Linked DNA regions of Oryzias latipes. The protein of the gene in region 1 purifies or fractionates together with the protein of each later gene. This does not show direct contact. Links are inferred from orthologs where the notes say so. Each region holds a gene or a part of one and is shown in the gene's direction. Other genes may lie near its edges. The genes, in order: fgfr1op2, strn, slmap and stk26.

What was found.
Region 2: the proteins of fgfr1op2 (region 1) and strn purify together in Homo sapiens (affinity purification with mass spectrometry; 4 studies listed by BioGRID and IntAct, with this or other methods). This does not show direct contact. The link is inferred for Oryzias latipes from reciprocal best matches to the Homo sapiens genes FGFR1OP2 and STRN.
Region 3: the proteins of fgfr1op2 (region 1) and slmap purify together in Homo sapiens (affinity purification with mass spectrometry; 3 studies listed by BioGRID and IntAct, with this or other methods). This does not show direct contact. The link is inferred for Oryzias latipes from reciprocal best matches to the Homo sapiens genes FGFR1OP2 and SLMAP.
Region 4: the proteins of fgfr1op2 (region 1) and stk26 purify together in Homo sapiens (affinity purification with mass spectrometry; 4 studies listed by BioGRID and IntAct, with this or other methods). This does not show direct contact. The link is inferred for Oryzias latipes from reciprocal best matches to the Homo sapiens genes FGFR1OP2 and STK26.

Annotation. Positions count from the first base shown.
Region 1 is NC_019881.2:3,909,085-3,917,469, forward strand, and holds the start of fgfr1op2 (FGFR1 oncogene partner 2), read left to right. Parts: upstream 1-2,690; 5' UTR 2,691-2,980; intron 2,981-3,961; 5' UTR 3,962-3,963; coding exon 3,964-4,098; intron 4,099-4,545; coding exon 4,546-4,663; intron 4,664-4,774; coding exon 4,775-4,917; intron 4,918-5,567; coding exon 5,568-5,681; intron 5,682-8,385. Other genes in the region: med21 (mediator of RNA polymerase II transcription subunit 21), read right to left, coding at 1,429-1,543, 2,602-2,643. UniProt on the Homo sapiens protein: May be involved in wound healing pathway.
Region 2 is NC_019873.2:28,014,188-28,021,903, reverse strand, and holds part of strn (striatin), read left to right. Parts: intron 1-525; coding exon 526-684; intron 685-1,668; coding exon 1,669-1,801; intron 1,802-1,873; coding exon 1,874-2,027; intron 2,028-2,647; coding exon 2,648-2,758; intron 2,759-4,684; coding exon 4,685-4,828; intron 4,829-4,896; coding exon 4,897-5,030; intron 5,031-6,585; coding exon 6,586-6,761; intron 6,762-6,918; coding exon 6,919-6,966; intron 6,967-7,716. UniProt on the Homo sapiens protein: Calmodulin-binding scaffolding protein which is the center of the striatin-interacting phosphatase and kinase (STRIPAK) complexes.
Region 3 is NC_019863.2:32,507,186-32,514,901, reverse strand, and holds part of slmap (sarcolemmal membrane-associated protein), read left to right. Parts: intron 1-1,664; coding exon 1,665-1,727; intron 1,728-2,230; coding exon 2,231-2,326; intron 2,327-2,502; coding exon 2,503-2,574; intron 2,575-2,652; coding exon 2,653-2,793; intron 2,794-2,875; coding exon 2,876-3,013; intron 3,014-3,100; coding exon 3,101-3,269; intron 3,270-3,468; coding exon 3,469-3,519; intron 3,520-4,750; coding exon 4,751-4,873; intron 4,874-6,288; coding exon 6,289-6,354; intron 6,355-7,409; coding exon 7,410-7,469; intron 7,470-7,541; coding exon 7,542-7,616; intron 7,617-7,715; coding exon 7,716-7,716. UniProt on the Homo sapiens protein: Associates with the striatin-interacting phosphatase and kinase (STRIPAK) core complex, forming the extended (SIKE1:SLMAP)STRIPAK complex.
Region 4 is NC_019876.2:4,685,310-4,693,063, reverse strand, and holds the end of stk26 (serine/threonine-protein kinase 26), read left to right. Parts: intron 1-1,044; coding exon 1,045-1,230; intron 1,231-1,730; coding exon 1,731-1,873; intron 1,874-1,946; coding exon 1,947-2,043; intron 2,044-2,139; coding exon 2,140-2,202; intron 2,203-3,297; coding exon 3,298-3,434; intron 3,435-3,771; coding exon 3,772-3,787; 3' UTR 3,788-5,153; downstream 5,154-7,754. UniProt on the Homo sapiens protein: Serine/threonine-protein kinase that acts as a mediator of cell growth. Modulates apoptosis. In association with STK24 negatively regulates Golgi reorientation in polarized cell migration upon RHO activation.

The DNA of each region.
Region 1 (8,385 bases):
AGGAGGATCTTCCTTCAGCCCTGGAGAAGATCCCCCCCCCCTGCTTCCGACCACAGTCGGAAAGAAAAAAAAGTCAGGTGGGAAAGGTTCAACACCACGCTCGGCCATTTTGCTGGAAATATTTTCAAAAACTGCCCGGTTGCGATAAGAGCCCTGGAGTTTGGCCTGAATGGAGCTGTCACCCCAAATATGAATCCAATCGGTGACCTCGCTTCCCTTCCACTGACTGGTCTCAGCAGCATCGTCCGCCATGGTTGATGTTTATCTTCTGGTTCCGCCTACTTCAACGCAGAATTATGACGTTTGAGAACGTATCAATGAGGTACGGGTCGGATTCATGTGGCCTGGCCGTTCAGACGGAGGTCGCATTTGAAAAGATCGGATACGTATTGGATTCAGGACCACATACCCAAGTGGCCTGGTTCACATTTGAAAAGATGGGATCTGTGTCGTTCAGACTGTCATGAAAAGATCAGATACAGGTCGCATGGGGGAAGAAAATCAGAATTGGGTCGTTTCAGCCTGCAGTATGAACGAAGCCAAAGTTACCTTTTCAGCTAATGCAAAACTGATAAAAACAGCCACTAACTACATGCTTTTTCTGCTAACATAAACATATGCCTATTTAGTTTCACTTAAATAAAAGAAGTATGACAAAAATAAATGAATCTTTATGAAATTTCACCGTTTATTCCTGTCCCTCAGTTTTGTTCAACCCGTAACAGCCTATCAATCCCCCTTTAAAAAAAAATAATAGTTCAGTCCAACTTCTTCAGCAGCCAGGAAGTGACATCACTGAATATTTTCCTGCTCATACTCTGAAGACAGGTAAGTATTAGCCTCCTTTCTTACCCATATTTCATAGTTTCTGTTGTCAGATTGACTTTGTCAAGCTCAACCTTTCAACTCTGTTAAATTAATAAATGATATTTACTATTGTTTGGGAAAAAGCTAACGATTGCTTTGAAATATGTATTAAATTCTTGTTTTCCTCATGCCATATGTAGCTTCATATCCTAGCTAATGTAGACACGTGACAACTTCAACCTCGTAATATTCTACTCCGTAACAAAACACACTGTCACAGTGACAAACTTTCTAACAATTTGGGGGATTTCATGTCTAAAGTGGGAAAACATCTTTTCTCAGAGGTTTAAATAGTCCTTAATCTGATGTAATGTTAAGAAACACACATTTTTTAGGTAAGATTTTCAATTACCAATGTGCACCGAATTCAGAGAATGACCCGTCTAGCCCCTGATATCAATCATGTCCCAATATCCAACGGCATCGAAGGCCCACCCCAACGTAAAATGAGGCTGTACTCCGAAAGTGAAAATTCAGAATTGAAACTGTAAACCGAGGACTGAAGGTGAAGAGCAGGCGGCGACCCAGTGGGTCTTTAGAGACAGTCGGCGTCAGACTAACCTTCAGTGGGGTTGGCCGGCTGGTCCTTGTTGATAGCGGTCTGGATGTTGCTGAAGGACGCAGGGGGAGCAAATTGTTGCAAAACACCGATGGCGTTACAAAACTGATCTGCAAGCTGCCCACGCAAAAGCAGAACACACAGTTCAGACCGAGCTGAAGCCGACCTGCACCACACATCCCGAATAGATTCATTTTATGTTTGAAACACAGACAGAAAGGTCAAAACAATCAAGCTTGGATTATAACAAAGCACAGCAGGAAATTCTACTCATTGGAAATGAATGGATATTATATTAAACATTTCATTTTAAAAACATTTTTGGTATAATTGTCTTCCATTATTCTTTATCTGGCTGTATGCAAATATTTCAAGCATTTTCAGCAAGATTTTGGTTTTATTTAAGACGGTTAAAATCTTTCATAGAGAAAAGAGAATTATGAAGTAGTACACTTCTTGTAAGTTAGAATATTTTTAGGTTTTTGCTCCTTCTTCATGTAATCATATGTATTATGCCCTTCAGGCATTTATTTCGAAATGTCATGAAGATTAAGTGTAGGGGTTGGAGTGCCTGAAGTTCAATATTGTCATATGTTATATACATATGTATATCTTTAGTCCATATGCTAGTAAGAAATGTCATCCGGCTGACCTAAACAATAACAGAACGGTTGGCCTGTACCACCACACATCATGATTCCTATAATATTCCAGCTAAATGAGCAAACAAGCTGCTTAGTGCTTTCAGGAGTTTCCTGATAGAGCTACACTAAAGGATGGCTAGCATGCTAAGAACAAATGGGACTCTAACTTTGTTTGACAGCATATTTTGACCGGCAGGATTAGGATAAGTCTCAAAACGAACAATTTATAGGGTAACTTCCTGGTTTGGGTACCTTTTTAAATAATTTCCACTTCCTTTCATGCGTCTTCAACTTTAATTCCAATCTACTTCAGCATTTTGGCAAACAGCTTCAGCAAACACCAAGTAAGTAATGCTATTTATTAAGTTAGCATTAGCATTGTTAGCTGCTGTGATGTTACGCCCTCAGTAAATAAATTAGGAAACAACTTCCATTAAAACCTATATATAATGCACATTTCATATTTAAATGTATATGTGACAGTCTTTCTATATCACAATTTTTGTCAAATATTTAACATTTTTATTTTACCGAGTTGACAGCATCTTGTAGTTGCGTTAGCCGGTCCGCCATATTTACCTGTATTTGACAAAAGTCCGTCGTCAACTATCGCGAGAGCATTGACAAAATCTCGCAGAAATTGACGTCATTTCGGAAGACAAGATAGCTAAAGAAAGTTAGCCCGTCAACAACCTTAAACCTGTTATTTTAGACTTGAATACCATAGAGACTTTTGCGAAATTCATTTTTTGTACTTTAGTATATTTTTTTATGTCTTAAAGAAACAAAGTTTAAGTTTAACGTATAATCCGATATTCGTGTTAGCATAAGCATGATGTTGCTATTCTGAGCTACAACATAAAATATCAGGAAGAAGATCTATTTTCTGGTTGCACTTTGAACTCTTCAGGTAAGACCACTTCAGTGTTAAATTAAGACACCTTTACATGCTTTGGTACACTGTTTATGAGGTACGTTTGTATGTTTTGTTGGAAAATTTGTCAGGATTTAGAGAGCAGCTTCGTTAGTTGTAACTACTTTACTACTACGTAAGCAAAGACATAATTAGCTGTTTGTTTCTGCTTGCTTAATTTTTTTGTCATAAGAAAGTATATTTCATGATCATAAATCTCCTGCAGTTCGACATCCTCTTTTTTCCCCTTTTAAACTGTGACACATTCGTTAACATCCTGCTTTAGTGGGTGAGCAGGAGGGTCATACCCGGTAAAGTTACATTGTTTGGTGGTGGCAGTGTGATGGTATGGGGCAGCATCTCCTGCTCGTTATTACTGGAGGAAATCTTGATGTAGAAGTTATACATCGAATTCTGCTAAAATAAATATTTAGTGTGTTTTTAAACCTGAATTACCCAAACACGACATTGGCAAAATTAGATGCTTAGCAGCGAATGTTCAACCAGTCATGATGGGTGCATTTCATAAACGGAGCTACGTATTCCCTTAAACTCTAAACAAAGATTTAAGATAAGTATTGTAACTAAAAAGTAATCTGCTTAAAACCAATTTCCCTGCTTTTTGTACTGTTTACATCACTTTCTATCATTTAACTTTCCATCTTAAATCTGTAAGACGCTGAGTATCTTAACGCTAATGTGTAAGTAAATGAAAAATGCAGGGATCTACTACTCTTTACTTCCAGATGTTCATTACTCACCACAGTAATTAGGTTTTTATCTCACTAAAACTGAACAAACAGAAAGCAAAAGAGTAAAACAGTTTTATGAAGGAAATTGCCCAATTTGTTATATTACTTACAGACTTGAACTCGATGTTTTTTTTCTTCTTAAGTTTTCACATTTCTTTAAAACCAGATTGATATTTTCTAAAAAATGTCCTGCTCATCGATTTTACTTTAATGTTTTCCCCTTTAGACATGAACTGTACGTTAGAGAAAGTCCTGGCAGATGCTAAGTCCTTGGTAGAAAGGCTCCGTAACCATGACAACGTAGCCGAGATGTTAATCGAACAGACAACATCTCTCAACAAGAGGGTAGAAGCCATGAAACAGGTAAGATTCTGCTTGGATTTTGATGTTTTATTTTATTTTATTTTAAATATTTTCCTCATGAGCCGACTGACGTCCTGCCCAGGATGAACCGTGCCTCCGTCCAACAGCTGCAGGGATAGGCTCCAGCAACCCTGAGACCCCAAAAGGGATACAAGAAAATGGATGAATAGATTGATTTTCCTCCTGAAAGCAAAGTTAACTGTACTAAAGCTTTTTGACCACTGGGGGGCAGCATCCTTTTTAGAAAAGTGTGATGTAAATTTTCTCTTTTTTGTTTTATTTCTGCTGTGAGAAACTAGAGAGCTTAGTGCCTGATCAAATCATGAGTTAGATTGAAGGAAACATTTATTTTAAAGTCAATATATTAAACTAATATTGAAACAGAAAAACAAAAAAGTATTTCTTTCTCTGTTAAACCAGATGTGAAGTATCATTCTGTGTTTGCAGTACCAGGAGGAGATTGATGGACTAAACCAGGTCGCACGACATCGGCCTCGTTCCAGTCTGGTGTTAGGAATCCAGCAGGAGAACCGTCAGATCCGAGAGCTGCAGCAGGAAAACAAAGGTGGCTGTTTGTCCGTTGGTTTGTCGGGAAGTGTCTGTGGCTCAGAACCTTTTATTTGTTCTTCCACTTTACCTTGATAAAGCACCAAACCAGTGAGTGTTTGTCATGCAGAGCTACGAACATCTTTAGAGGAGCATCAGTCTGCGTTGGAACTCATCATGACCAAATACAGGGAGCAGGTTTTTAGGCTCCTCATGGCCAGCAAGAGGGACGACCCCACCATCGTCACCCAGCTGAAGGAGCAGCACACAACGGTGAGAGGAAGGAGCGCCCTGCTCCTTTGATGAAGCAGGTCAAAGGTTATCAGCAATATGCCCAAAAAAACAAAATCTCCCATTTTTTGGCACCAAATTTGATTCCTTATTTGAACCCAAAAGGACATAAATCCAACAAAAACCGTTTCATTTTAACGTCTCCTTAGGAAGATGGCCTAAATTTAGAAGGGCAACTAAATCCAAGCTGTGAAAATGTTTGTAGATCAGTGCGGCAGGTGTTTTGCCGTTAGCCTGAAGAGAAACATCTTCTCGCACTCGACAGCTTCAGGCGTTGAATGTTGTTAGCAACAGCCTTCAAACTGGTTTTGCACACATGGGGTTTGATGCCTGAAGTCCCAAAACTAAACCAGTTTCATAGACCTGAAGAAACGGTTTCTGTTTTGGGAACAAGCTAGTTAACATTTTAACGAGAAACGGGGGCAAAAGCTGAACTTTACCCCGGACAGCGGAAGCCAAAGTGAGCAGGATGCTGAGAAAATTCAGAATCCAGGTTTATTCCCCCCAAAAAAATCTTTTTAAACCCCAAATTTAAGGTAATACGTTTATTGCCCAGCCCTGATGTCGTGTGTTTGTTTGGATCAAATATTCGAGCTTTTTGAGTTTTCCTCATTTCTTCTCTGTGTTTGTAGGAAATGCAGGCACACATAGACAAGATCAACGAGATGGCCTCTGTGATGCGGAAGGCGATAGAGGTGGACGAGGAGCGCGTTTGTGAGGACGAAGAGAGGATTAAACAATTAGAGGTAACCTGAAGGCTTGTATATAAATGCATTTATTCGTTACCTTGACAGCAGGTTGGGTTAGGTAGTAACAGGTTATTTTTATCCATTTGGACTTTTATAAAGTGAGTTCTTTACTTTTTCTGAGTGGTTTCTTACTCAGGAACATTGGGCTACTTTTGTCAATGAGTTTGGAAATCTGGTGAGTGGACTCATGGGTAAATTCACCTACCTTTGTTGTGTCCAACTCCCTCACTACCACATAGTGCATTTGCTATATTTTTCTACAGTTCCAATATCCAGTGCCTTGAAATTTCCCAGAAGTCTCTGTAAAAAAATCTAGTGTACTGATGCGTACTAGTTTGGAGAATTCAGACCACAATGCATTGCATTTGAATTATTTGTCATTTGAAAAAAAAAAAATTTTGAATTTCTTTTAATAAATCCTTCAAGCTCATCTTCAGAACACAGTGGATTCATGAATAGTTCTCATCAAATGTTCACATTTATTAGGTTTTTATGGCGGCAAACGGGTTACCGTTTAAAAAATGCTGGTCAATATGGCCGCCGGACTTTCAATGTCACTTCAGCAGTTCCGAATCCAAAGGGTGGCGTCAGAGTTTATCCGTCCCGTCTTCATATGTCTCTAATAGCAAAGCCTAAAGAAGTTTATATGTGTCCAAAACATTTGCATTAAGTCTTTAGAAACTGCATTGAAGCAACCTTTGAACACAGAAAAAGGGTTTTAGTGTTTTTTCCAGCATGTTGCAGAGGGATGCTGCCAACAGGAGACAGCAGAAGTCCAAACCAACAACATTTCTGGTTCTGGTTCTGGTTCTGGGTTTGTGTCGGTGGATGAAATCTGCTCTCTGTAACTGGAAACCGTAGCTGGTGTTTCCCCTTAAAGCCTGAGCAATTGAATAATGTAGAGAATTAAGAGGAGAATATCTACTATTATTTTTTTAATATTCTTAATCTTTGTTTAGCTAGGATGTTCTCATTTACATGAAAATCTTTTTAGCAAAGAAGTTCTGGTCAAGTCTGTTTAAATCATTAGCACAATGGAAACATGATAAAAAAATAGTGCTGTCATACAATTTAATTATTTTGTGGAATTAATCAATTCTGACCTGTAGTTCAAAAATCCTCATTTTGAGGTATTTTCATTGAAAGTTGTGACATTGTGGCGCAGTAAGACATCAAAATCCAACCCAAAAACTGGCTTTCTGAACTTTTCTTCTATAGTAACTGACATTTTCTGTTGTTTTTTTTTTTAATAACCTTTCCTCTACAGCAGCTGAGCAAAGCAAACGATTTCAGACTTTCAGTTCTTACTTTAACACCACTGAGGGGGATTCTGGAGGGCTCTCATCAAAAACATAAATAAAAACAGTAGGAAGACTTTCCTGAGCAATCCCAAAAATAATGAACACAAACCTTTTAGATATACCACCATACATGTGTTGATAGACCTTATTCAGCAGTTTATCCCAACACATAGACAGTAGAAAATACATGAGCAGGGCTCCAGACTAACTTTTTTCACTAGGAGCACAGTGGCCCCAACTGAAAATTTTAGGGGCAAAACCAGAAAATTTAGGGGCGCATACCGTAAATCAACATGCTAACCAATTCTACTAATTTCCACTGTATTACTAATAAATACTTTAATAATAGATGCAGAGATTACAATGTGCTGTTTCTAATTCAGTGTCACATTTTAATCTGCACTTTTGAAGATGCAACAAGAAGGTAAACTGACAAAAGCATCGCTGTCATGACAGTACAAATACTAAACAAAACAGATGGAAATTTATCTTGGTGACACCAAATAAGTGCAGCCAAGATGCGCAATAAGCGTGTTTGAGATCACCCAGGTGGACAAAACGCTGCACAGATCACCTGGTGGGAGACAGATATTTTTGTTTTTGCTCCAACATCAACTGTCAATCATCAAAAAAATATCACGAGAAAGGGGTGGGAGCAAGGGGCAAACCTACCCGGACACAGCTGGAAATTTAGCACTGCACTGACTGAAAGCTGCCCTACAGACTACAAAACAATGCATTATGGGACATGTGTCCTGATGGTTTTTGTAGTTCAGTGATCAATTAAAATAATTTAAAATACCAATTGATTAAAAAAAGGCTGAATACATTACAAAACATTCAAATAAATATAAAATATATAATAACACATATCCAACTAAGGGGGACAGGCATATTAAAACTAAATTGAATGGTAAGGACACCCCCCCCCCCTCCCCGCCTGGTCTCCCCAACGATCCAGGCGCGGCGCTGGATCATCTTAAACACGTCTATCGTTGCATTTTCCCCGACGTGTTTTCAGTGTGTCTAAGACTAAATCTTGTCACTCGCACATATTTAAAGTTCCAGCCCCGTTAGCTGTCACGCATGTAGGTGTGGGACACCTAGCGGCCGTGCATAAACCGTTTGTGGTCGGGGGTGACACGCCGCCGCGCGCTTGACCAAAACCTAAACCTTCCTCCGGGTCTGTGCGACCCAGAGAAAAGTTCAGCACGGACTGCATGTATTTAGAAAATTACGAACTAATAAATACGTTCTAAAAAGGAAAGTAAGGAACTCCTTAATGTGGTCTGGGGAGGGGGCGGTCAGGTTTCCTGCTTTCAAGCCCTGTCATTGTCACGCCCCCAAGAGTAATTTACTCCACTGTGATTGGTTGGTCAGCTCCGCGCACGACAATGTAA
Region 2 (7,716 bases), on another chromosome or scaffold:
GTGGCGTTCTCCGTCCCCTCAGGGTGGGGGTCACTTTTCATGGCTCTAGCTCTTGGTTTGAAGAGTTTTCTTCTTGTCTTTAGATTATTTAAAATTCAAGACTGTCTGTAAATAAGAAAAAGGGAAAGCCTTTTTTTTCCCATTTCGTTTTGCCTCAGATTTAAACACTTGTTTTTGTTCGTGTGATGCCTGAGAATCCAGCACATGTGGTTCCTTCACACTCTGTTTGCACAGAGGAGTGTGATGTGCACACGGCCCGTCACAACACTGGTTTGTCAGGAAGTGAAGTGTTCAGGCTGTGAAATGAGTCCTCGACAGGAGCAGAAACACACCCAAATCAGACTGTTGTCTTTTCTGCAAAAGCGTGCTCAAGGGGTTTGGGTCAGTGGTTCATAAATGTAGGTGTGGAGTAAAGAGTCCAAATTGTTGCTGGCCCGTGCAGCTTTAGAGCTGAGCAGAACTTGAACCAATCTGGAAACTTCTCAAGGTTTTCCAGTGATTCTGAGATGCGACCTTTCTTTCCAGGTACCTGCAGGAGGTGGGATACACAGACACCATTTTAGATGTAAAATCCCAAAGAGTTCGGGCTCTGCTGGGACTTGCCGGAGATGGAGGAGGCAGGATGGAAACTGAGCCTTTGGTGAACGGGACGGACACGACAACAAAGGGCATAGGCACCAAGGGGTGAGTACAGTCCATTTGAAGACCCACTCTGATGTAAATGGCGTTTTAACATGTTCTTGTTGCAAATTTCTGATGACGGAGGGCATAGTTAAAGAAAATTTAGCTTAAAATTGCGTTTCTAAATATTTCTTTAACCAAATTGTCGTGCAGCAGAAGCTGATCGTAGAAAATACACTGGGCGGGGCCACAAGCTTCCTGCTCCGCCCATTTCTGATCATCCACCTGCAGACTCATCTGAGCTGGAATCTGGATCTAAACTGTGAAAATGCGTCTACTTCTGCTAAAGCCTTTTACGGTCTCCAGATTTAAAAAACAATAATAGCCTCTTAAAATGTTTATATTAATGAAAAAGAAATGTTAAAGCTCGAATTCTGCAAAGGACTACAAATGTTTTCTTCTTCTTCTGTTTATTTTGTCAGGAGTTACAGCGCCACTTACTGACACTGGATTAACACGTTATTAACGGCTAAAGCGGCTGCAGCAGTCTTTTCTTCTACAAATAACAAACAAAAACCATCAAACAGAGAGAGACTCCACGCCATGCGGCGGTCATTGTATCACGCATCATTGCGATTTTCATCGTTTCCAATGACAACAATAAATGATTATACAGTGTTGCATTTAGGGGACGTTCTTTAATGTTTCAGAGGTGTAATTCAGTTTAAGGAAGCTCTCCGTTGTTTCCAATACCTGCAGTCACGTGTTTTTTATGCAACAGGATTCAACATTTTTCGTGAAAAGATGGTTAAAAATGTACAAACTTATCGTAGTTCAATCAAGACAGCTTTTCTTTTTTGTATTTTCTGCTGGTTGAAATGTTTTTAAAAAGTTTCTAATGGCCATTTGCTGAACCTCCCAGTGATATTTTTGTTCTTCAAATTGGGAATCCTCGTCAGAAAAAATAAAAACTAGCATCTATCTAAAGCTCGATATGGCGAGTCTATGATGGTGGTTTAAATGAAACGATCTGTGGCTCCTTTGCAGGAAATCTGAGCTGTCTGACCCCAGCGCCGTGCTGGAAGTCTTCAATTTTATTGAGAATGCAGAGGATTTGAGCGATGAAGATGAGGAAGAGGACAGCGAGGGAAAGGGAGTTACCAACGTAGAATCCAGGACGGTGAGGAAGCCACTTTCATCTTTGCATCACGCAGTGGGAGTGCTGTTAGAGAACAGGCTGTGTTGCCTCTAGATCATGAGGAAAAAGCCTCCTCCCTCATCGACCAACATGGACACCAGTGAGGACCCCGACACCAACGCCGTGCTGAAGGTCTTCGACTTCCTGTCCAGACCCGATGAGATTGACACTTCTGAGTCCAGAGGCACCGGCGATGGGACGGACTGGGGTGAGTCACAGACTGACCACGAACACAAACTGATAAATCCAAACCCCTTCAGCGAGAAAAGGATTCATTCCAACTCCGGCCGCTGATCTTTTAAATTTGGGAAGTTTTGACTCATAGTTTGTTGACTGCTGGTGAGGTTCCGTCATTCATGTGTCATTCTGTGCTCATAAGTCATGATGTGTCTGTTTAACACGCAGTTTGTGTTCTCTTCCACTGTATGTTCACAAGTCCAGCCTGTGACACCAACATGTTTCCACTCGTCTGTCGTCAGATCGCCCAGATCCCCTCTGAGCTTCGCTGGTCTTTAGCTGGAGTCAAAACAATCAGCTTGATGTCATGCTGGGTTTAATCTTTGACTTTAGCCACAAAAGACAATTTTATCTCAAAAGCTGAAGTCAGACATTCCCCACCATGACACAAACCTCTCTCAAATCCACCTCCTTCTTTCTGCCAGCAGAAAGAAAACACAGAGGAGGGTCAGGAGAGGCCCGTAGCTCCGCCCTCCTCGTTTATGAAATTGATTTGAATCTGAAAGTCTCAGAGCGTTTGCAGCTCTCTGTCTGCAAGGACCAGGGCAGTTTCTCAACAGCCTGTCGGTCTGGTTTTGTCCCCTTGTGTAGAGAAGAACGAGCAAGGCTCCATTTCTGAGGCCTGGGACGTGGCCCCGGGCCTGATAACCCAGCTCAAGGAACAGTACAAAAAGGATCGCAAGGGGAAAAAGGGGGTTAAGAGTAAGTCCTGCTAGGTATTGCTGCCTCCCTGCTTCTTCTCATTCTGCAGAGCCTAAAGCCTTAGTCACAACTGAACCTGCGGGTGGAGACGGGCTTCCTGCGGGCGAAAAATGGTCAAACCTGTACGGGTGGCACCCGTCAATACCTGCTGCAGTCTGGCCGTTAGACAGGAGGAAAATGGACAGAGTGTAGTTTGTGTGGACATCCCATGAACACTTCTGTATCACCCAGTGTGTGCAGCACTTATGCACAATTAGTAAGGAGACTGTACTGGCACCTTGAATGTGCCGTGACGACACTGTAGGACAGCATCACCTGTAGGTTGTAAGTGTGTGTAACTTACATTATTGCCACACATACACACGACAATGGTACGTCCCGTTTTAATGATGCCCCTTGAGGTCCTTGTACGAGCCTCAAGGAAGCTGCAAGATAAAGAAAATTCTACAAAAACTTTGCATTTCTGAGTATTTCTTTAATCAAATCGTTGTGGAAAAAAAAAGCTGTTTGGAAAAGATTTTTGACGGAAAATTTGCTCGCCGGGCCACAAGCTCCCTGCTCTGCTCCATTCTCAGGCGAAGGGTCTATAGATGCATTCGTTTGGGTTGCTCCACGCCAACTTTCCCGCCCACAACTCTGAAACTCTGTCCTAAATATCGACACGGGTTTCTTTTCTTTTTTCATTTTGGCTAAAAACGGTAAAATCCTGATCAAAAGAGCACTGGGAACACTCTGAAACCCGAAAGCCGAAAGCCTCACAGCACCCGTACAGGTCAAGCCCCCCAGTGTGACTAAGGCTTTACTTTCCTGAGAAACCAGCCTCAAATCCAAATTGGAGCATCTTCACTGTTTTCTCTGAGTTTCTTCTGTCGCCGCTCCTCGTTCTGCTTCTCTGTCCTCTTCACATCTCATTCTTCAGACCTCTCCGGTGCCTTCAAAACCTGCATCTGTGCTCAGGATTTCTTTTGCCCTTTGGTTGACCCTGGTGCATGCCTCATTTCAGTCTTTCATCGCCTTATTCTCATCTTCACGTCATCGTGCTAACCGTGAAAGATCAGACCGCCGTGCCACAGTAGCTCTGTGATTGCCGCCGTGGTCCTCATCGGTCGGCTCGGCTCGCGTGGAGAAGTCGTGTAGCCGCTGATGTTCTGCCGCTCGATAGCAAAATCAGAGCTTTTCCTGTGACCCGCATGGATGACTCATTCAGCAGCCCACAGATTTCACATTTCTGACACCCAGTCTCCGCTCTCCTTCTGCAGCGACTGCTCGTGACATCAACACTCACTTTCTCACCTTCCTTCTACGCTGTTTACACAGCCCCCCCCCCCCAAGAGTGTGTGGTTTTTTTTTTTGTGGGTGTTCGGACGACACCATGTAGAGTTTCTGTTCCTGCGATTTTTGTCTGTTGCAGCTCCTCATAATCCATTTCTGCGCCGTGTTCATACCAGCCGTTAACTGCTGTTATTTATTGCTAAAACTGTTGTTAGATTTAAAAAAAAAATAAGCTGGAATTTACAGTTTTGTGTTGCCAATTGCACCTTTGTTTGTTGAGCATCACAAGGAAACTTTCCTAGGTCTCTGCTGGTTGCTTAGCAACAGCTCTGAGCCGGAGGAAAGTGTGTCAAAAGGACAGACTGAGCGGATCGTAGTTTTTGTCTCACGCACTTCTGAAAGGATGGCAGTTAAAACGTACAGATTCAGGTTTAGACTACAGTGATTCTCCACACCAGCGGCTTTAAAGGCAAATGTACCTTTTGAGTAGGTTTCACTGCTTTTCTTCAAACTTTATCTATTTTTCTTTCTTCCCAGTCCTTCCATCTTTTCATCTTTTTTTCTCTCAGCTTGTTTGCACTCTTTTTCTCTCGTCTCCGTTCTCCATCAGTATGTGTTGGTTCTGTTAACCGGTGTAACCCCACCTGTGAACAGGACCCAACCGATCCAAGCTGCAGGACATGCTGGCCAACCTGAGGGACGGCGAGGACATGCCTCACATGCAGCCTCCGTCCGCCCCGCAGCCCCGACCCAGCGTGCCCCGCTTTAACGAACACGAGGGAAACCGGCCGGATGAAGGTGCCTCAGAAAGACCGCCGCCCCCTTTCTGTTTGAACTTTGGTTATAATCAGGTTTCCTCTCCGCAGTGGAGACCCTTGCTTTCCCGCCCACCTCAGGGACGTTTATTATGGGCGCAGACGAAGCTATGAAGAGCGACCTGGGACTCGGGGAGCTGGCCAGCATCACCGTGGCCAACGAGGTCGAGAGTCTGGCATACGATGTGAGTGAACTGTTCCGGTTTTTCCGGCCCGAATCGTTCACAAGTCTGCGTTTAGCGGGTCAACCAGACAACGGAAAATAGCATCTCTTCAGCCATTTTACCCCTATGAAAGTAACAGTCCACCTGGACCTTTTCTTCTTTATTCATCACATAATATTTTAAATTGTTTTTCAAAATAATTTCATCCCTGACACTATTAGATAAATTGTTACAGATCTAAAATGTTCTAGATCTGTAACCTGAGGCTCTGGAGCCACAAGCAGCTCCTTTATTACTCTATCCTGGCAATATAAAAAATTATAGTTTTAGTTTGTTTGTTTTTGCTAACTTTGTTTTATCATTTATGTACACATTTATGACATCACTGAGAGAAGTGATGGTAAAAAGTTCAGTCTGCTGTCAGAGTGGTTTAAGATTCAACATGTTCTTTTCTTCTGCTGCACAACAGAGTCTAGAGAAGTTCTTAAAGATTCTCTAAAAAATAAATTAAAAAAAGCTGTATTCTACACTGATCTCATCACATTTATATTTGATAGTAAGAGGAGAAAAAGGATGACAGTGATTCGCCAAACTCTCTTGCCTTTGTTTAAACCAAAACTGCTGCAGCAAAAGGATCCTATTTGGCACACAGGATGTGTTTTATTTTGAAAGGATGGTGTATATGCCGGTGTCAAAATAAAAAAGGGAATGAATAAATAAAGTTAAAATAAGTTAAAATTCTCAAATTTGAATGGTGTAAAATAACTCTAAACCCCCCCCAAATGAACTGATTTCATAGATGAAGTGATCCGAAGGTTTTGAGTTGAGGCCCTGATAAAACACTGAGTAGTTAGGAATATGTTTATTTCTGTTTATTTGATTCTATTAAAGGCATTTTGATAAGAATGACGGTATCAGACTGTGGAACAAGTGAACAAAACCATGAAGCTCAGAGACGCTAGTCTGTCTGGCGTTTGGCGGCTGTTTGCACTACATCTCCCATGATGCATTGAGTTAAAGTGACAGTGTCTCAGCGCACAATGAGCCTTTCTTTGTTAAACGTCTTGAAACCACAACGAACACATATAAAACTGTTTTTAAATCTTCTAAATTAACTTTTATTACATCTTTTAGAAAAAACAGCTGCAGCTTCCAGCTTTTTCTGCCACAATTGTCACAAAAATGCATGTGAGATCATGGAGGGGCTGTAAATCAATACAGACTGAGTTTTTCCTTTTTTTTTTCTTTTTTCTTTTTTTTTTTGGATGCCGCTAGGTTTTTGTCAAGGATAAAGTGTGCCGTGGCTCAAAAAAGGTTGAAACACTGGTCTAGATGAACCCGCACAAGTAGTTTTGTTTGTGTAATTGATTTTATTTTTGTTCTGCAGCTTCATGAAGTGCAAATATAAAATACATTAACAGCGGTTAAACTCTCATTTTCTGTTGGTGACGGTGTCAGAGTCCTCTTGCTTTTCGTTTTTGTTTTTTTAGTTATAAACATTTGAAAACACAGAGTGGAAGGAAAAATCTGTTTGTTGTCTGACCTGGATGCTGAGCGTCTCCGCTTTGTTTCTCAGATTGGCAACAATAAGGACGCGATGAGGAAGACGTGGAACCCCAAGTTCACCCTGCGGAGTCATTTCGACGGGATCCGGGCGCTGACGTTCCACCCCGTGGAACCCGTCCTCGTCACGGCTTCGGAGGACCACACGCTCAAGATGTGGAACCTGCAGAAGACGGCTCCCGCCAAGAAGTAATGTGTTCCTGCTTGAACGACTGAAAGGAGCATCTCTGCTTTCGTTTGCCGAGCTTTGGTTTAAAAATCTGTGTTTTCCACCTTCGTGCGTGGAAAGCTCTGCCCACGTGAGTGCTGCTGTTTTCTGTCATAGTAATGAATGCTCTGTCTGCAGGAGCACATCTCTGGACGTGGAACCCGTCTACACCTTCAGGGCACACAGGTAAAAAGCTCATTTTAGTATCCAAGTTCTGAATGTAACAAAGAAAAAACAGCAAACAACAGATTAACTACATTTGAGATCATCTAAGTCATTCCAGACCCCCCCCCCCCCCCCCCCCCCCAAAAGGTCAACTATCTAAGCTGTATTTAGATTATAGAATCAATTAACTGTACAAAGTGTGAACGTGGAAAACGGCGGTTTGAGAAACAAAAAGACTAGAACATCTGCTGTAAGATGAGCAGGAACTGCAGCCAAACAGGGCGGAGCTGCGGTTACAAAAAATGAGGATTGTCATCATCACGTTTAAAAAAAAAAAAGGTATCAGAGCCAGAATGACTGAGGAACAGGTGTTTGTTTCCCTATAGACGTCGTTGGCTACTTGGATCCAGCGGGTACTTCCTGTTTGGAATGTCAGGGGGGGCGGAGCCACTCAGTCCGGTTCTCTTATACAGTGAATGGTCATTGTGCAGACGCATTGAGAGAGCTAGCAGCTGGTTGTTGCTCAGCTTGGGCCTGTGGCGTGTTGATGATGGGGTCACTGGGTGGAGTCCAAACCGACGGGAAGGAGAATCTGATCGTTCTCCTCCTGAAATGTATGATATTTTTCTTATTTGTATGGAGACAAAAGGCCTGGGCTGCTTTGAAAAAACAACAAAAAAACAATAACTCGGTCTGAATTGATCCAAGCTTAGAAGCAGATCAACAATCGATCCATAAAAGAAGAGATCGATCTTTTATGCCTTTCTTTCT
Region 3 (7,716 bases), on another chromosome or scaffold:
TTGCTGATGGAGTCATAATGAGAGGCTTCTCCTGAACTGAGGATTCACCTCAGATTCTGGGTTTTAGGTTGATCTTTTTCTAAAATTAAAGGCGCTGATGTGATAAAAGTGTTTAAATGATCATTTAAATTTAAACGGGTTGGATCAAAGTGACAAAGCGTATAAAAGGCTTAAGAGAAATCCCTTAGTGGTGAATATTAAAGGATAAACGGAGGTAAACGTCTCTTCTTCATTCTTTCTTTATTCCGTTAAACTTCAGTGGTGTTTGTCTGCAGTTTATCTGTTGTCCAGTACAAAAAGAAAGTGTGTTTTAGACTATAATCTAACTTTCATGCACACATTCTGCATGAATGCGGATGCATTCTGCACACAGAACTTTCTAAGCTGTAAATAAAAATATTTACCATAATATTTGCTATAAGATACTTTTTTTTTCTTTCACATTTTGTTTTTTTTGCTTTCGAGACCTTTTTTTCCCCAATTTCTTTTATTTGCTTAAATTTTTTGTTCTTTTTGCTTTCATAAAATATGTTTGCATTTGCAACACACATGTTTTTGCATGCATGTTTTTTTTTTGCATGTTTTTGCATGCGTTGTGTCTCATCTCACCTTTTTCCTATCTTTGATTTTGCTCACATAAGTCCAGTTTAGTTTGACAAAGCTGCCATGAAGCAGCCTCAAAAAAAATCATAAAAAAATGGATCATAAGTAAATTGAAAAGTTTTTGAAGGCAAAAATAAAAATTCTGAGAGCAAAAAATTAAAAGCTAAAAAAAATGTTGAGAGCAAATATTGAATATTTTCATTTGCATCTTAGAGTTTTGTGTGCAGCGTGGTGCCACCTTCTTCCAGGAGGGTCTGTTCTGCCTTCAGGAGCGACTCCAGCGTCTTTCTGCTGTGTTTAGATTTGAGCCGCTCTTCTAATATCATTAACGGTCCTGAGTGAGATCATGCGGCGGCGGCGGCACGCTCCACCTACCATCCACTTACTGATGGTTGATGCTGCACAAACCTGTAGAGGAAAGCAGACTGATGTCATTCGGAACCGAGTCCAGCATGTTTGGTCGATGAACGAAGGTCGGCCGTGGTAGGGCGGTCAACCCATGATCGTAATATTGCAGGTTCGATTCCCGCCTTGCACGCCCATGTGTCGAAGTGTCCTTGGGCAAGACACTGAACCCCACCTTGCCTCTGGTGGGAGGTTGGCGCCAGTGTTCGGCAGCGGAGCCGCCATCAGTGTGTGAATGTGACTGTAAAGCGCTTTGGGCCTTTGAAAGAGGGTAGAAAGCGCTAAACAAGTATACGCCATTTACCATTTAATGAATCAAAAGTTTGATCATGAAGCGACGTTCACCCACTTCCCACGGCAACACGCCGTTTACTAACCGGTATTCACATACTTTCCTCTAAATGCGGAGATTATTACCAATCGTTTTTATCAAAGTCGCCTCATTTCAAGTGATGCAAAGAGTAATAACGTGTTGGTCTGTTTGTGTTTCTGGATCAGTTTGGTTACATTTAAAGCTTTTAGAAGTTGAACTGTTCAAATGATTGATTTCCTCTTTTGTGGCTGTTCTCCTAAATATTCGTTCCTGCTCTTTCTTTTTAAACACTCCTTTGATGCTCTGTGGTGTGTTTTTTTTTTTTTTTTTTTTTTTTTTGCAGGTTTCGGCCAACACTCCCAGCATGTACTCTCAGGAACTCTTCCAACTCTCCCAGTATCTACAGGTAAAGCACTGCCCCCTGCTGGCCAAGCTTGGGAACTACAACTGAAACGATAAATAGATGTTCTTTGATCAACTCCTTTCACTTTAAATCTTCCTTTCGAGTCAACTTTGTGTAATAAATCATCATTTTGGCAAAATATTATATTCACACGATAAAGCGGTTAGAAAAAGTCCTCATATTAGATTATTTTAAAGAAGCAGACTTAAAAACCTACTTTGTCTGGATTGAAAAATTCAAATTGAGTAACCAGAAATGATCAGAAACGGTTAGACTATTCACAGCAAACAAACTTTAGTTTAAATGCTTTGAACCAGAAATGTGTGTTCTACTGATAATACAGCAGATTTCTACACGCGGTTCAATCTTTATGATGTTCAAGTTGAAATATTGATTCAGAAACTCCAGAGGTTTGAACCCTCAGAGGAAATTCCTAAACTCTGACTCTCTTTAAAAAAACGCCGTGGATGATGAATGAATGCAGTTCCCGTGTCTGGTTTCTGCAGGAGGCCTTACACCGAGAGCAGATGCTGGAGCAGAAGTTAGCCACGCTGCAGCGTCTGTTAGCCAACACCCAGGAGGCCTCCGAGAGCAGCTGGCAGGTAGGAGACCTCGTCTTCTGTTGTCCTGAACATTTGTAGACCTGCGCTGAGGGGTTCACTGCAGATGTTAGCAGGAGATAACGGTGGCCATGGGGCTTATACTCATGGAGAAACTGAAGCTTTGGATAGAATTTGAAGATCTGAATTATGACTAACGTGACTCTGGTCTCCTTCAGGCTCTGATAGATGAGGACCGTCTGCTTTCCAGACTGGAGGTGATGGGGAGTCAGCTACAGGCCTACTCCAAGGTAAAGTCACCTTCTCAGGTTCTCCTCTGTAAAAAGGTGAGGCACAGAAGTTCTCATTCATGTCTGGAACTCCTGCAGTCCCAGACGGAGGAGGGGATGCGGAAAGAGCTTTTGGCTCTTCAGGAGGACAAACACAACTATGAGACGACGGCCAAGGAGTCTCTGAGGAGAGTCCTGCAGGAGAAGATCGAGGTGGTCAGGAAGCTCTCCGAAGTGGAGGTGGGACCCTTTGAGGAGTTGTTTGTCCCTTCAGGCTGATGGATTCAGTACCGGTGAACCCAACGCGTGATCTCCTCTGCAGCGCTCGCTCAGCAACACGGAAGATGAGTGCACCCACCTGAAGGAGATGTCTGAGAGGGGTCAGGAGGAGCTGAGGGAGCTCGCCAATAAGTACAACGCCGCTGTCAACGAAATAAAAGAGCTCACCGACAAAATCAAGGTGAGGCCTTGTGCGTTTACTCTGAAAGGTTCGATTCCCGCCCCTCTACATTTGTGCAGTAACACCCGATCGTCTTCTTTCCTTTAGGTGGCGGAGGGCCGGCAGGAGGAGCTGACCCAACGAGGAGAGACGGAGAAGAGGGAGCTGGAAATGAAGATAGAGGAGATGGAGGAGAAGGAGCAGGTTCTCCAGGCTCGCATCGAAGCTCTGCAGGCAGACAACGACTTCACCAACGAGAGACTTGCTGCTCTTCAGGGTACGTCTGGGTCACGTCTAAACGCCGTTTGCTCCCTGAAGCCTTCCACTGCTGCTTCATTGCATATAAACGGAGGACCGAGCCGACGCCTTTGTTCGGTTCCACCTCAGCTGTCGGTTCCTCGCAGAAGGCCGACTGGAGCTGCTGCAGGTCCAGCTGAACGTTCTCTTTCTGCTGTTGTTGTTGTTGTTGTTTACAGCGCGGTTAGAGCAGCTGCAGGAGAAAAGCGGTAAAGAAAACAACAGTCTGGGTGAGTCCACGTCCCGCTGGTCCGCTCTGGGACTGCTGTGTCTGTGGGGTTAATCAGCCTGAGCTGCACTAACGATGCATGAAACGTCCTGCATGGTCTGTCTGTGCACTTCCTGCTGTCGCTCTTTTCTCCTCGTTGAGTTTTTTTTATGATCTTTCAGTGGTTGACTCATTCACACAACATTGTATTGTTGTCCATAAACGCAAAAAGATTTTTTTCCATTTTAATTACCTAATTAACTTGTAGTTTAAGGCGGAAATGTCACACAATGTGAATCCAGCTGAGGGAAAGTTTATCTATTTCCTCCTGAATGACCTGCATCAGAAATACCTGCACTAGAGCTGCTGCTGACGGTGAAGCGACCCAACAGTTTCCACTCTATATTATCTAATTTAGATGTTTTATGTACTTAGTTTAATTCATTTAATCGTTGGTCTATTAGCGTTACACTTAAACCTCCTGTTGTGACAAACTGATGTTTGTTTCTGTCTCAATTACAAAGGCAGTAACTGAACCATTGTATTTTATAAAATGCTGACGTCACCTTAAATATGACAAACTGGAATAGATTCAAAGTGTAACAATTGTTTGTTTTTCCTTTCAAAATGGGTCAATTTACCCAAAGCATAAGAGATTTTATAGTTTTCTCTTTAACTTTGTTCTTCTGGCTCTGGGTGTTGTGACAGAAGTCTTAAAGCAATAAAGTCCATAAAAACATCAAAAATCCTTTAATTTTACATTTAAAAGAGTAAAAATGTCCTCTGTGCTCCAGAAAAACGGACGTAAACACAGAAAATGATCACTCCTGAGGTGGATTTCATTCCTTCATGAGTTCCTGCTTCGTGTTCCTGTCTGTTAGAATGACTGTGGGTTCTCTGTGGAACGCCCAGTCGCATCGCTATGCGCTATGCTAGGATGCTAGGATGCTAGCTGCAGGTCCTGGTTCTGACCTGGACCCGTCTGGTTTCATAAGGAGCTGGTGTGTTTTTCTGGGCTTTGTTCTGGCGGTTCTGTCAGGTGAATTTTGGGCTTCTTGGTTAATTCAGAGCTTTTCCAAACCGATCACTGCTTTGGTTCCTTTTTCCGGGGGGAGGAGCTTGAGGACACTGATTTCTGCACTAAAGGAGTCCTGAAGGTCTCGCTCTTCTTCATCAACGGGCTTCACAGTCTGTCTTCTGCATGTCTGGCTGATGAAGGTTCCATGTGTATATCTGATCTGGTCACATGACAGAGGTGGCCCTCGTCCCTCCCGGAGCTGCAGGGGAGCCCGTGGAAGACCTAGCGGACGAAGACCACGATGAGCCGGATACAGACACCGAGGAGGGGGCAGTTCACGAAGATGAAGATGTTATTGGTAGTCTATCTCAACTGTTTCCTTAATTTCTTCTTCCCAAAGACAGACGATCAAATGTTTGTTCGATGCAGAGCTGAAACCTCAGAACGCGTCTGGCCTGAGACCAGGTCTTCCTCGATCAGGACATGTGCAAGAACTGAAATGCTGGATCCAGATCCATCTGGGAGCCACTTTTCTGGTCCGTCTGAGGAGCACGTCTCCAGATAACTGGTCTGCAGCGCTGTGGCCTGCTTCACGCATCAGTGTCCCACGTTCTGAGCTGTCTCTGGTGAAATGAGACGTAAACGCAGCGTCTCGACTGGAAACTCTGTGTGTGTGTGGCTGAACCTGCTTTCAGCCGCCTCACACACTCGCGATGCGGTCTGCGCCGCTGCAGCCGCTGCAGTCTCCTCACATGCGTCCTGGAGGAGAGTTCACTGATGTTTCTTCAGGTTCAAACCAATGTTGGAAAGGGAGAGCGGGTTTGTAGATGTTTCTCTACACCATGAACCGACCTCTGACCCGAGAAGGTTTGGTGTCTTCTCTCCGCCGCTGTCGAGTCTCATCCGTCTGTTGTTGATCTTTAGATCAGCTTGAATGAAACCTCGTAATTGTCCTTCGTCCGATGCTGGTTTAAAACTTTGTGCTGCGGCATCTTTGAAGGTTTGGTCCAAAATCTTTACAAATGTGGATCGCTCGTTTTCTGAGCATCATCTGCTGCAGTTTGTTGTTCGGTCAGTTTCCATCTCAAGGTTTAGGAGAACACCAACGGCTCCTTCAGCTCCTGGGTTTTTCCATTTCAGCTTTCACATCAATCTAGTCCTGCTTTGGAATGAAGTCCATGTTGGGTCTCAGTTTCTTCTCGGGTTAGGAGCTTTACTCTCTCACAGTTGTCATTTCTAACCCGTTTTATTGTGCCGTCTGCAACATCATCTTCCCGTCAGCATCTTCCGTTCACTCATTGGGTGCAGCAGCTCTGAGATCTGGTGCAGTTTGAGTTTCCTTCGGCTCTGATGTTGTTCCGTCTCCATCTTGCTGCTGTTTCTCACCTGCTGATGCTTGGTGGGGTGTTGCATAGCAGCGTGTTTGACTCCATCCTTCACCTGTCCTGTTGTTCTGGTCTGTGACACGTCTGCCTGCTTCCTCTGTGTCCGTCTCAGGCCTTCCCTGCCGTCTTCTTACCGGACGTTAAGTTAGGAGCAAACGCAGCTTTTTGATTCTGCTGATCCAAATCAAGGAAACCTGGTTTGTCTGCTTGATTTATGGACGTCCAGCTTTAAGCTTCACCACATTGGAAGGAACCAGAGGAGGAAATAAGACTAAACGATAATAAACTGTTTGAGCTGAACTTTGTTCAAACTCAGGCTGGTGTCGATGAGCAGAATCAAAAACGTCAAAGGCAGAGTCGTAACGCCAGTTCTCTGTGTTTCTGTCAGACAACTGTCATGTCAACAACAGCGGAGGAGAATCCACTAGAATCCAACAGTTGATTGAGTGTCAGCGTGAGTACAACCTGCTGTTCCTGAATGCATCTCTGTCTGACGCCGTCTTTCGCCGGCGGTCAGAAGATGACCGTAACTGTGGGGGGGGAAAGGTCGAGTTTGTTCTTCAAAGATCTGACATCTTTTCCAGGATTCGCATTCTGTTTTTTTAATGGTCAGTTTCGAGCCTCAGTCATAGTCGGGCTGCAGCAAGGAGCGTGCACGTAAACGCACTAACGGCCTCCTCCAGCTGCTCCAGTCTGGATCCTGGGGGGTGAAGAAAATGAAAGCTGTGTCTAAGGCTTTAGTCGGATCCTTAGACTGACCAACCTGAGTTCTGCATGGAGCTGAGGCTCCGTCTGAACCGCCTCGTCATTCTTTCAGGGTCTGACCATAAAAAAAACCCATTCTGGTCTTTATTTCCCTCTTTTTTTCTTCTAAACTTGTCCTGTCCAACAGCTGAGGAAGCAGATCAGAGCTGAAGGCCTCGTGTGTTGGACAGATTTTACTGTTACATCAGGGGTTTATGGGTCTTCAGACAAATGGAGTATATTTGTATAAACCCCTTTTGTAATTGAGGCTAAGCTTTATTTATGATAATTATATTTATGTGTATTCCTTGTTGGACCAGACAGAGGAAAAAGGTAGAGAAGGAAATGGAGCAGGATTTTAGAGATGGGGGGGGACAAGGGGTTAGAATGGGGAAGAGGGGGGTGGGGTAGGTGCAGTCAATAATGCAAAGTCAAAACATTAGGGTCATAAGTAAATTGCATGACTTAGTTTTCTTTGTTTCCCTCCTTTGAGCTCCTTCTGAGGCTGAATCCGATTTTTCCTTCAGCTGATCTGAAACCAGGACTGTTTCTGGATCAGATGTCGATGATGGACACTCCAGAGCGTCTGGCCTTGACCTCTAACCTCTGACTTTATCAGACTCGCAGCGATGCATGTCTGCTGTGTGTTTTTCTGCTCTTTTCGGCAAATGTTGATCCATTACAGTAAAAACTGTTTTTTGAATCTTTACAAACTGTTGGACTTTTAATCCACCTTTTGCTGTTGTTCCTCTTGTTTCCCTGCAGCTGTCAGGCAGCTGAAGGACACGGTCAGTTCTTCAATCCACAAACTGGCCAACTTTGACGGTAAGAACGGAATCTGAAGATTTGACTGTGCTGGTGTCCCTGAGGAGAACTGAAACACCTGGATGTTTGTAGAAGTCATGGACGCCCACCTTCAGAACAACCAGACTGCAGGAGGCGACACACTGAGCAGCCCTGACCGACTCAAAGGTAGGGGGGGCGCTCACCGCCATCAGCTCCCCCTCAGAGGAGGACGGCCTTGTGTTTGATGCAGGTCGTGACTCCGCGCTCATCTGTCCGTCTCCACAGG
Region 4 (7,754 bases), on another chromosome or scaffold:
CTCGTTAGGAGAATCTGCTAAAATAAACGTTACTGTGACTTAGGGCTGTGACGATAACCGCATCACTGCACGTTTTTTTAATTTGAAAGTTCTGCATATGGCGCGTGATTTGAACTATAATAAACACATTAAACACATTCATCTTTGCTGATAATTTACTTTTTCTGCTAGTCCTGTGTGTAGAAAAAGTCTTCATCCTCCACTGCAAGGGAGGGCGGGGCAGCCCATTATACATATTATGGGGGTCCTGACACCATGACTCTTGCTGCTTCATCACAGCGGTGGTAAAAAATCCCACACCGTCACAGCACTACTGTGACTACGCTAACCCCCTAACTTTGTTAGTAACACGCGGTCCAAAACTGCTACGGGTTGGCTGCGTCAGAAGCGTTAGCGTAGTCACAAGGCCTGTAACTCCTAACCTCATTTGCAACACGTAAGAAACAATACTTCTAAAATAAAGTTTGTTTCTCTGACTATGCTAGTTGTTCGTAACAGTCTAAGGCCGAAACAAACTGTGACCACGCTAACCCCAAACCTTGTATAAAAACACTTTTAAAAAAGCATAGCATAGAGTTAGCAGGTTCACAATATCTGTAACTCCTAACCTTGTTTGCAATGCATAAAAAACGATGGATACCGCTAAAACATAATTGTGACTACGCTATCTCCCAAACTTTTTAGTAAAGTTTAAAAACAAAAAATTCAATTCCGACAACCCGATATGTTCGCTAGGCTAGCATGCTAGCATGAGATGGTTCTGGTGCTGAGCTGCTGAAAGAGTCTTGGTGTGCTGAGCTGCCATCTCTTGATTGGGGGTGTAAGTGGAAAAGTCGGACACTGAACTACATTTTGGCGTATAAATAGCTAGTTAAAAATGTTTAAAATCCATACAGGTCTTGCCATTTTTAAAAATCTGATCCAATATAATCTGACTGACTGACAGACTCATGTCTGATCAACACACATTTAAAGTCGCATCGTCAGCGAATGGTCGGTTTTCAAACTGATGATGATGTTTTCTGCTCCTGTGTGTCTCTACAGGCAGACATTTGGTCTTTGGGCATCACGGCCATCGAGCTCGCCAAAGGGGAACCGCCAAACTCAGACATGCATCCCATGCGCGTCCTCTTCCACATCCCCAAGTCTCCTCCTCCCACGCTGAGCGGAGACTTCTCCAAGAGCTTCAAAGAGTTCACCGAGGCGTGCCTCAACAAAGACCCGGCCTTTGTACGCATCCAAGTTACTTTCAATCAAATAGATGATTTTTCCATCCTAAGGAGGTCAAATCGTGCTTTTGTCTTGATACAAATTTATATCTGTACGTCTTCTAAAGTCATATCCAGCTTTTTGTTGTGATAAAAAAGATTTTTAGGTGTTTTGAAGTTTTTAAAGTAACTATAAGAACAACTTAATCATTTATTATTAAAGAAAAAACAGAAATAGTTTTGTTTCATGTGGAGCTTTGGTACCAAATGGAACATTTTGAAACTTTATTTTTAGTTACTTTGCACTCCTGTAAACGTAAGGCCGCTCCATGAAAGTTTTGTTGTGTTTTGCTGCCACCTAGTGGAAGAAATTATTAAATCTCCTTAATTTGATCAATAAACCTGAGGCCAAACATTTAATCATTTTATATTTTTTTGCCTCTTACTTTGAAAAAATCTCATTTCCTCTTTTTTTTTTTTTTTTTAATTCCCCTCCTTTGGCTTCACTCTACGGTCCTGCAGCGGCCGACCGCCAAAGAGCTGCTGAAGCACAAGTTCATCACCAAGCACTGTAAAAAGACGTCTTACCTGAGCGAGCTGATCGACAGGTACAGGAGGTGGAAGGAGGAAGGTCACAGCGGCAGCAGCTCCGACGACTCAGACAGGTGACTTCAGGGCTTTCTTCTGCTGCTGCTGCATGTCGGTTCAGCGCCTACAACTGTTTGTTTGTGTGAGCAGTGAGTCCAGCAACAAAGAAAACGACATGCATCCTGAGTGGTCCTTCACCACCGTCCGGAAGAAGAAGACAGAAGGCAGGATGGTCCTCAACGGGACGGTTAGTCGCAGTATCTGGTTCCTCGGGAACCTTCATCCTGATCCTCCGATGGTTTTAGGGCATTCGGGTTGAAGCAGAAATGTTCTTTATCTTCAGACTCCAGAGCAGCTGAGTAAATCTGCCAGCCTGAGCACGGTCATCTCCCCGGTCTTCACTGAGGTGAGCGTCAAAATAAGAGTTTAGTTGAAAGACAAATGGTCTTTTAACCAAATTCAGTTCTAATTATTTAAAACACTTGATCACATTTTATTTTTTTTATTTAACTTTTACTTTTTCTCTAATTTTTTGATAGTGCAGTCCTGAAAAAATACTGTTTGAATATTTTGCTCTGAATAAATCATAATAATTTATAGTGGCTGGAATTATTATTTTTTTCAGTGCACTCACTTTCACTGTTCGACTTTTTTTCTTCTGTTCTTTAATTTTGTATTCTGTTATTATTAACACAAAATATGTTAAACAGACTTTAATCTGATGAATGTAATTCATAGTTGAGGCAAAATTTGAAAGAATAAATCGAGTTTGGCATTTTACCTTTCCTTTTTCTTTGTATTTAAACCTGCAACCAAAGGTAGAATATAAATACTTTATTTTCTTTTTATTGTTTTGAATTGAATTTTATCAGATCACATCAATAACTTGTTATTCAAAACAACACATTTACTGTCATCAATTTACAAAAATCAGATTACCATCAATTGGTAAAAAAACAAAAATGTAGTTTATTTTGGAAAACCCAACATGAATCTAAAGGCCCATCAGATGTAACCTTTTTTGGCCTTTAGCTAACTAGCCTTTAGCTAGCTAGCCTAGAGCTAGCTGTGCTTAGGCTAACTGGCATTAAACTAGCTGCTTTAGAGCTAGCTTGCCTTGAGATGGCTGGCCTTAACCCTTTTAACACAACAATTAACAACATTTTTTTCAACAATGTTACTCTTCAACCATTTACACAGGTAACGTAATTCCAACAGTTTGTGAAGTAGGAAAAATCAGCTCTACGCTGATGTGCAACACTTTACAGCAATACAGTGTTTACGCAATCAACGTAAACGTTGCTATTTCTTTAGCACAAAGCCGCTAGAGTTACGTTGAACGCGTCAACTGTCAAAGCGCTTGTTCTATTTAGGCATTGCCACTGATATCTTCTGGTGTTAAAGGGTTAAGCTAGCTAGCCTTAAGCTATCTGACCGTGCTATGTATCTGCTAGCTATAGTCTGAGGAATCGATTGACTTTTTTTTCTTATCCTCTTGTAGTTGAAGCAGCAACACAAGGAGCATTCGACGCAACGACTGGCCATCGAGCAGCTGGAGCACAACATTCAGCTGGCCGAAGACATCTGTCCGGGCATCACAGACAAGATGGTGACGCACATCATCGCCCGGTGCCAGAAGTATGACCATCGTCACTCAGTACTGAAAGACGCTGTTTGTTCTTCTTTTTAGCTCACAGACAAACAAATTCACAAGTTATTTGTGAGTTTTCTTGCCTGTTAAGAACATTTTTTTCATCTTTGGTCTCTAACTTTTAATGTGTGGTCCCGTCTCTTTAAGCCCCTCCCCCATCCACCAGCCATAGTTTCCTCTCATTGGTTGGAATTGTAGAGTACAACCCCCACTGTAGCTTTTTAAAATGGGATTTTTTGTTTTTTTTGTATCCGAACAGTCGTCAAAATTTTAGAAAATTTCCTTTTGACCGTTGTTTATTGGAAATGTGTCCTTTTTCTTCAGATTCACAACAAACTGAAGACCAGTTGAGAGGAAAAGAAATTAGGAAGAGACTGTCTTCATACCGTCGCCCCGCTGGAAAACAGAGGAGATTTGCTGTGCATTGAACCCTCTCAACACTCAGACTTAAATATTCAGCACACACTAAGAAAGTCATATGTACACTATTTCCTCCTCGCTGCTGGAGGAGGGAACCTTTCTGTTGAATCCAAATCAGTCCAAAAATAATGTTGTCTTAATAACATGACGTGCCTTAACTTCTCCATCTTCTGTTCATCCATTTTTGCGGAAAGGTTTCTTTCTGCTGCAGCAGCTGTAGCCTTTAGTTTGGTGTCATGACTCGCCCGGAGTCCGTCTGTCTGTTCAGCAGCACTTGAAATGCTTTCTATCTCATATTTGTGTCGTTTTTGTTTTTACTTTTTACTTCCAGGTCAGGATGGCCCTTGAAAGGCCAACACAGGGTTCGACTTTGACATGTGACAGAGGAGATTCCTCAGTGTTGGCTAAAGATTAGCGTAGCAGATAGCTAAAACAGGTGAGGAATTGGTGAACCTGTTTCAAAATGTTCCCAAAGTGAATCCAGACCAAACTTTGAGTCAGTTTTGACTCAACTAGCTTTACCAGACTAGGCTATGCATTACTTGGTTGCTAAACAACATGCTAGCTAGGAAACCTTTGCGTCGGTTAGCTTAACCAGTCTAGTCTATGCATTACTAGCTTGCTAACCAACAGGCTAGCGGGGAAACTCTTGATTCAGCTTTGAGTCGGCTAGCTTAACCAGACTAGTCCATGCGTTGCCCACTTGCGAACCAACATGTTCGCTAGAAACCCCTTTGAGCTTCTGCAGTAATTGGCAAAATTAGAAATGACTACGCAGACAACGTAAAGATGTTGATCAATTGTTCGGTTTTTCTTTTGGGTCTTTCAATCGAGTTTTCACAAAGTTTCCGACGTTTTCTGGGTGCATGTTCAAGTTTTTGTTTTTATCGTGATTTAATGGACCTGCAGACTACGGAAAGCCTTCAGGGTTTTATTTTTATTTTGGAATCCATTAACCGTGGGAACTTCTGCTGTTGGCTGTCAAATGTCCAAACGCCGAATTTCAACAAAACGCTTTGATTTGAAACTTCATACTGAATTGTAGCAAAAGCTGCTTTCAGGATGAAGTTGGGAGCTGTACGTCAACGCAGTGCTGACAGTTTGTACCAAAGACACTATAAGACTTGGTCAATGTATATTTTTGTTTTTTTAATGTGTTATAAGGGATACGAGAGCGGCTAGAAAAGGGGAGTTCGTGAAATGAAAGATGTACGATTTTACAGTAACATACTTTTTGTAGCGGGACTTAGAGTTTTATGAATAAATATTTATGTATGATTGTGAAACTTTTGGTGTTTGTTGTTTATTTACTTAAATAGGTTTTTTATAAACTAATATTTGATCAGTATTATTCTTACTGTTTTGGGCCAATGCAACAAGAAATCTCAACTTCACATTTTACTCTTTATTTCTATTTGAACATCTTTAACTAAAGCAAAACTTTTTACATTTTTATTTCTGATCATCATAGTATTTTTTTTTAACTTGTCTTTTTCTGTGTCGCTCTTGCTGGCACACAGAGAAGTTAGCTTAACTCCTCCTCGGCTGAGGCCTTTTCTAGCGCTTTTAATCTGGTCCTCTCTCCTTGCACAGATGTTAATTCTTTGTGACGTACTTTTAATAGTTACTGTCTTTCTATTTTAGATGAAGTCTGTCCCTTTAAAACCAGACTGGCCCCGTCGCTAAGGTTTCCCCTTGGATGAACGACGACGATCTTGCAGAAAAATGGAACGTGTGTGGAAAAGAACTCATTTACCTGTTCATTTACTTCATCTTCAGGATCTTTTAGTTTCTTTTAACAGTGCGGTTAGAGATGTGAGGGCTGCTTACTTCACTATTCTCATTTCTAAAAGCAGAGGTAATCTTAAAGTGCTATTCAACACTATTAGTGATGTCGTGATGCCCAATCTACCTGCTGTCCCCATCCATTCAAATGATGATTGTGATACGTTTTTATTATCTTTTATTGACAAAGTCAGATCTGTGAGAAGCTCTCTGTGTCACTCAGCTGGTTCTGGTCCTAGTCCACCTCGCCCTGTGATTTTAGACACGTTCTCACCCGTTTCTCTGCCTGAGCTAGTCAGATTAGTTGGCACAATGAATTCATCCTGTTGCTCTCTGGACGTGCTGCCAACATCTCTGCTCAAAGATGTCTTCCAGTCCATCGGTCCTTCTGTCCTGTCAATAATTAACTCGTCCTTGCTGTCTGGTCAAGTCCCTGAGCACTTTAAGAAAGCTGTCGTCCTTCGTCTCCTTAAAAAACCCGGGCTTGACTCCTCCCTCTTGAGCAGTTACAGACCTATTTCTAATCTCCCATTCATGTCCAAAATTTCAGAAAAGGTTGTTGCTAACCATCTTACAACTGCTTTCCACAGTCATGGCATTTTAGATCAGTTTCAGTCAGGTTTTTGCAGAGCTCTCTCCACTGAAACAGCCCTTCTCAAAGTCACTAATGACATCCTGACACAGAGTGATGCAGGAAAATGCTGTGCTACTGCTACTGGACTTGACCGCAGCCTTTGACGCTGTCGACCACTATGTCCTCCTGGACAGGCTAAAAAATTGGGTTGGGCTATCTGGTTCCTCATTAAAATTGTTCTCCTCTTTTCTGACTGGTAGATCTTTTTCTGTTGTTTTTTCAAAGTTTCAGTCCTCTTCTACATCCCTCACTTCTGGTGTCCCTCAAGGCTCAGTTTTGGGACCTTTATTGTTCATTTTATATCTATTGCCTTTGCAGCGCATTTTAAGTTCTTTTAACGATGTTTCTTATCATTTTTATGCTGATGATATTCAGCTCTGTGTCTTTTTAAACCGCAGGATGTTTTTAAAATACAGATTTTACGCAGATGTCTGGATTCAGCCAAAAGTTTGATGAATGATAATTTTCTCCAACTAAATGAAGCTAAAACAGAGGTCCTAGTCTGTGTTCCTGACAGTTGCCTCCTCCAGATAGTCCAGTGGTTCAGTCCACTTGCTTCCTTTATCAAGCCGTTTGTCAGGAACCTCTGGGTAACTCTAGACCAGGTTTTATCCCTTGACTCACTTGTACGTTTTTGTTTTTATCATCTTAAAAACATTGCAAAACTGAGTCCAATTGTGTCACGTTCTGAGTTGGAGCTGCTCATCCACGCTTTTATTTCATCTCGTCTTGATTATTGCTTCTCCATCTTCACATACTTGAGCAAAGAATCTTTAGAACGGCTCCAGGTTGTCCAGAACGCTGCTGCTAGGCTTTTAACTAAATCATCCAAGTTTTCACACGTCACCCCGTTGTTAATCCAGCTGCACTGGCTCCCTATCAGCCATCAAGTGCATTTTAAAATTCTGGTTTCAACATACACAGCTCTCAATAGCCAAGCACCGGTCCACCTTAACCCTTGTGCTGTCTTAGATGACCCCCCCTTACATTGACGTGTTCTCCCTACCATGACAAAGGTGGATAAAGGTGGAAAGATTTCATGTAATCCATGAAAAACCAGTGAAGATCACAAATCATTGAAGAAAAAAGGTTCAGAGGACTGTCTAGTGGGTCTAGATGACCCAACTCCCAATGGTAAAGTGCCTAGAATAGCACAAGGGTTACAAGACCTTTTGCAGCCGTACACTCCCAGCAGGTCCCTGAGGTCATGTGACCAGGGTCTGCTGGTTAGACTAAATGCATGCTATAAAAATAAAGTTTATTATTATTATTAGATTTCTACATTCTGTTACGTGAAATACTTCAGTAAGACTTGTGAAAAAAAAGCATCTTTGGTAAAACAAACACTGATCCCTTTTCTGGCAAAAATGCTTTATTTTTAACTGAAGCACGGTGGTGGAAAGGTCATGATTAGGTCATTCTTTATGGAGACAGAAGCCGGTGTGCCGGCTGGGTTTGGGTCTTTGTG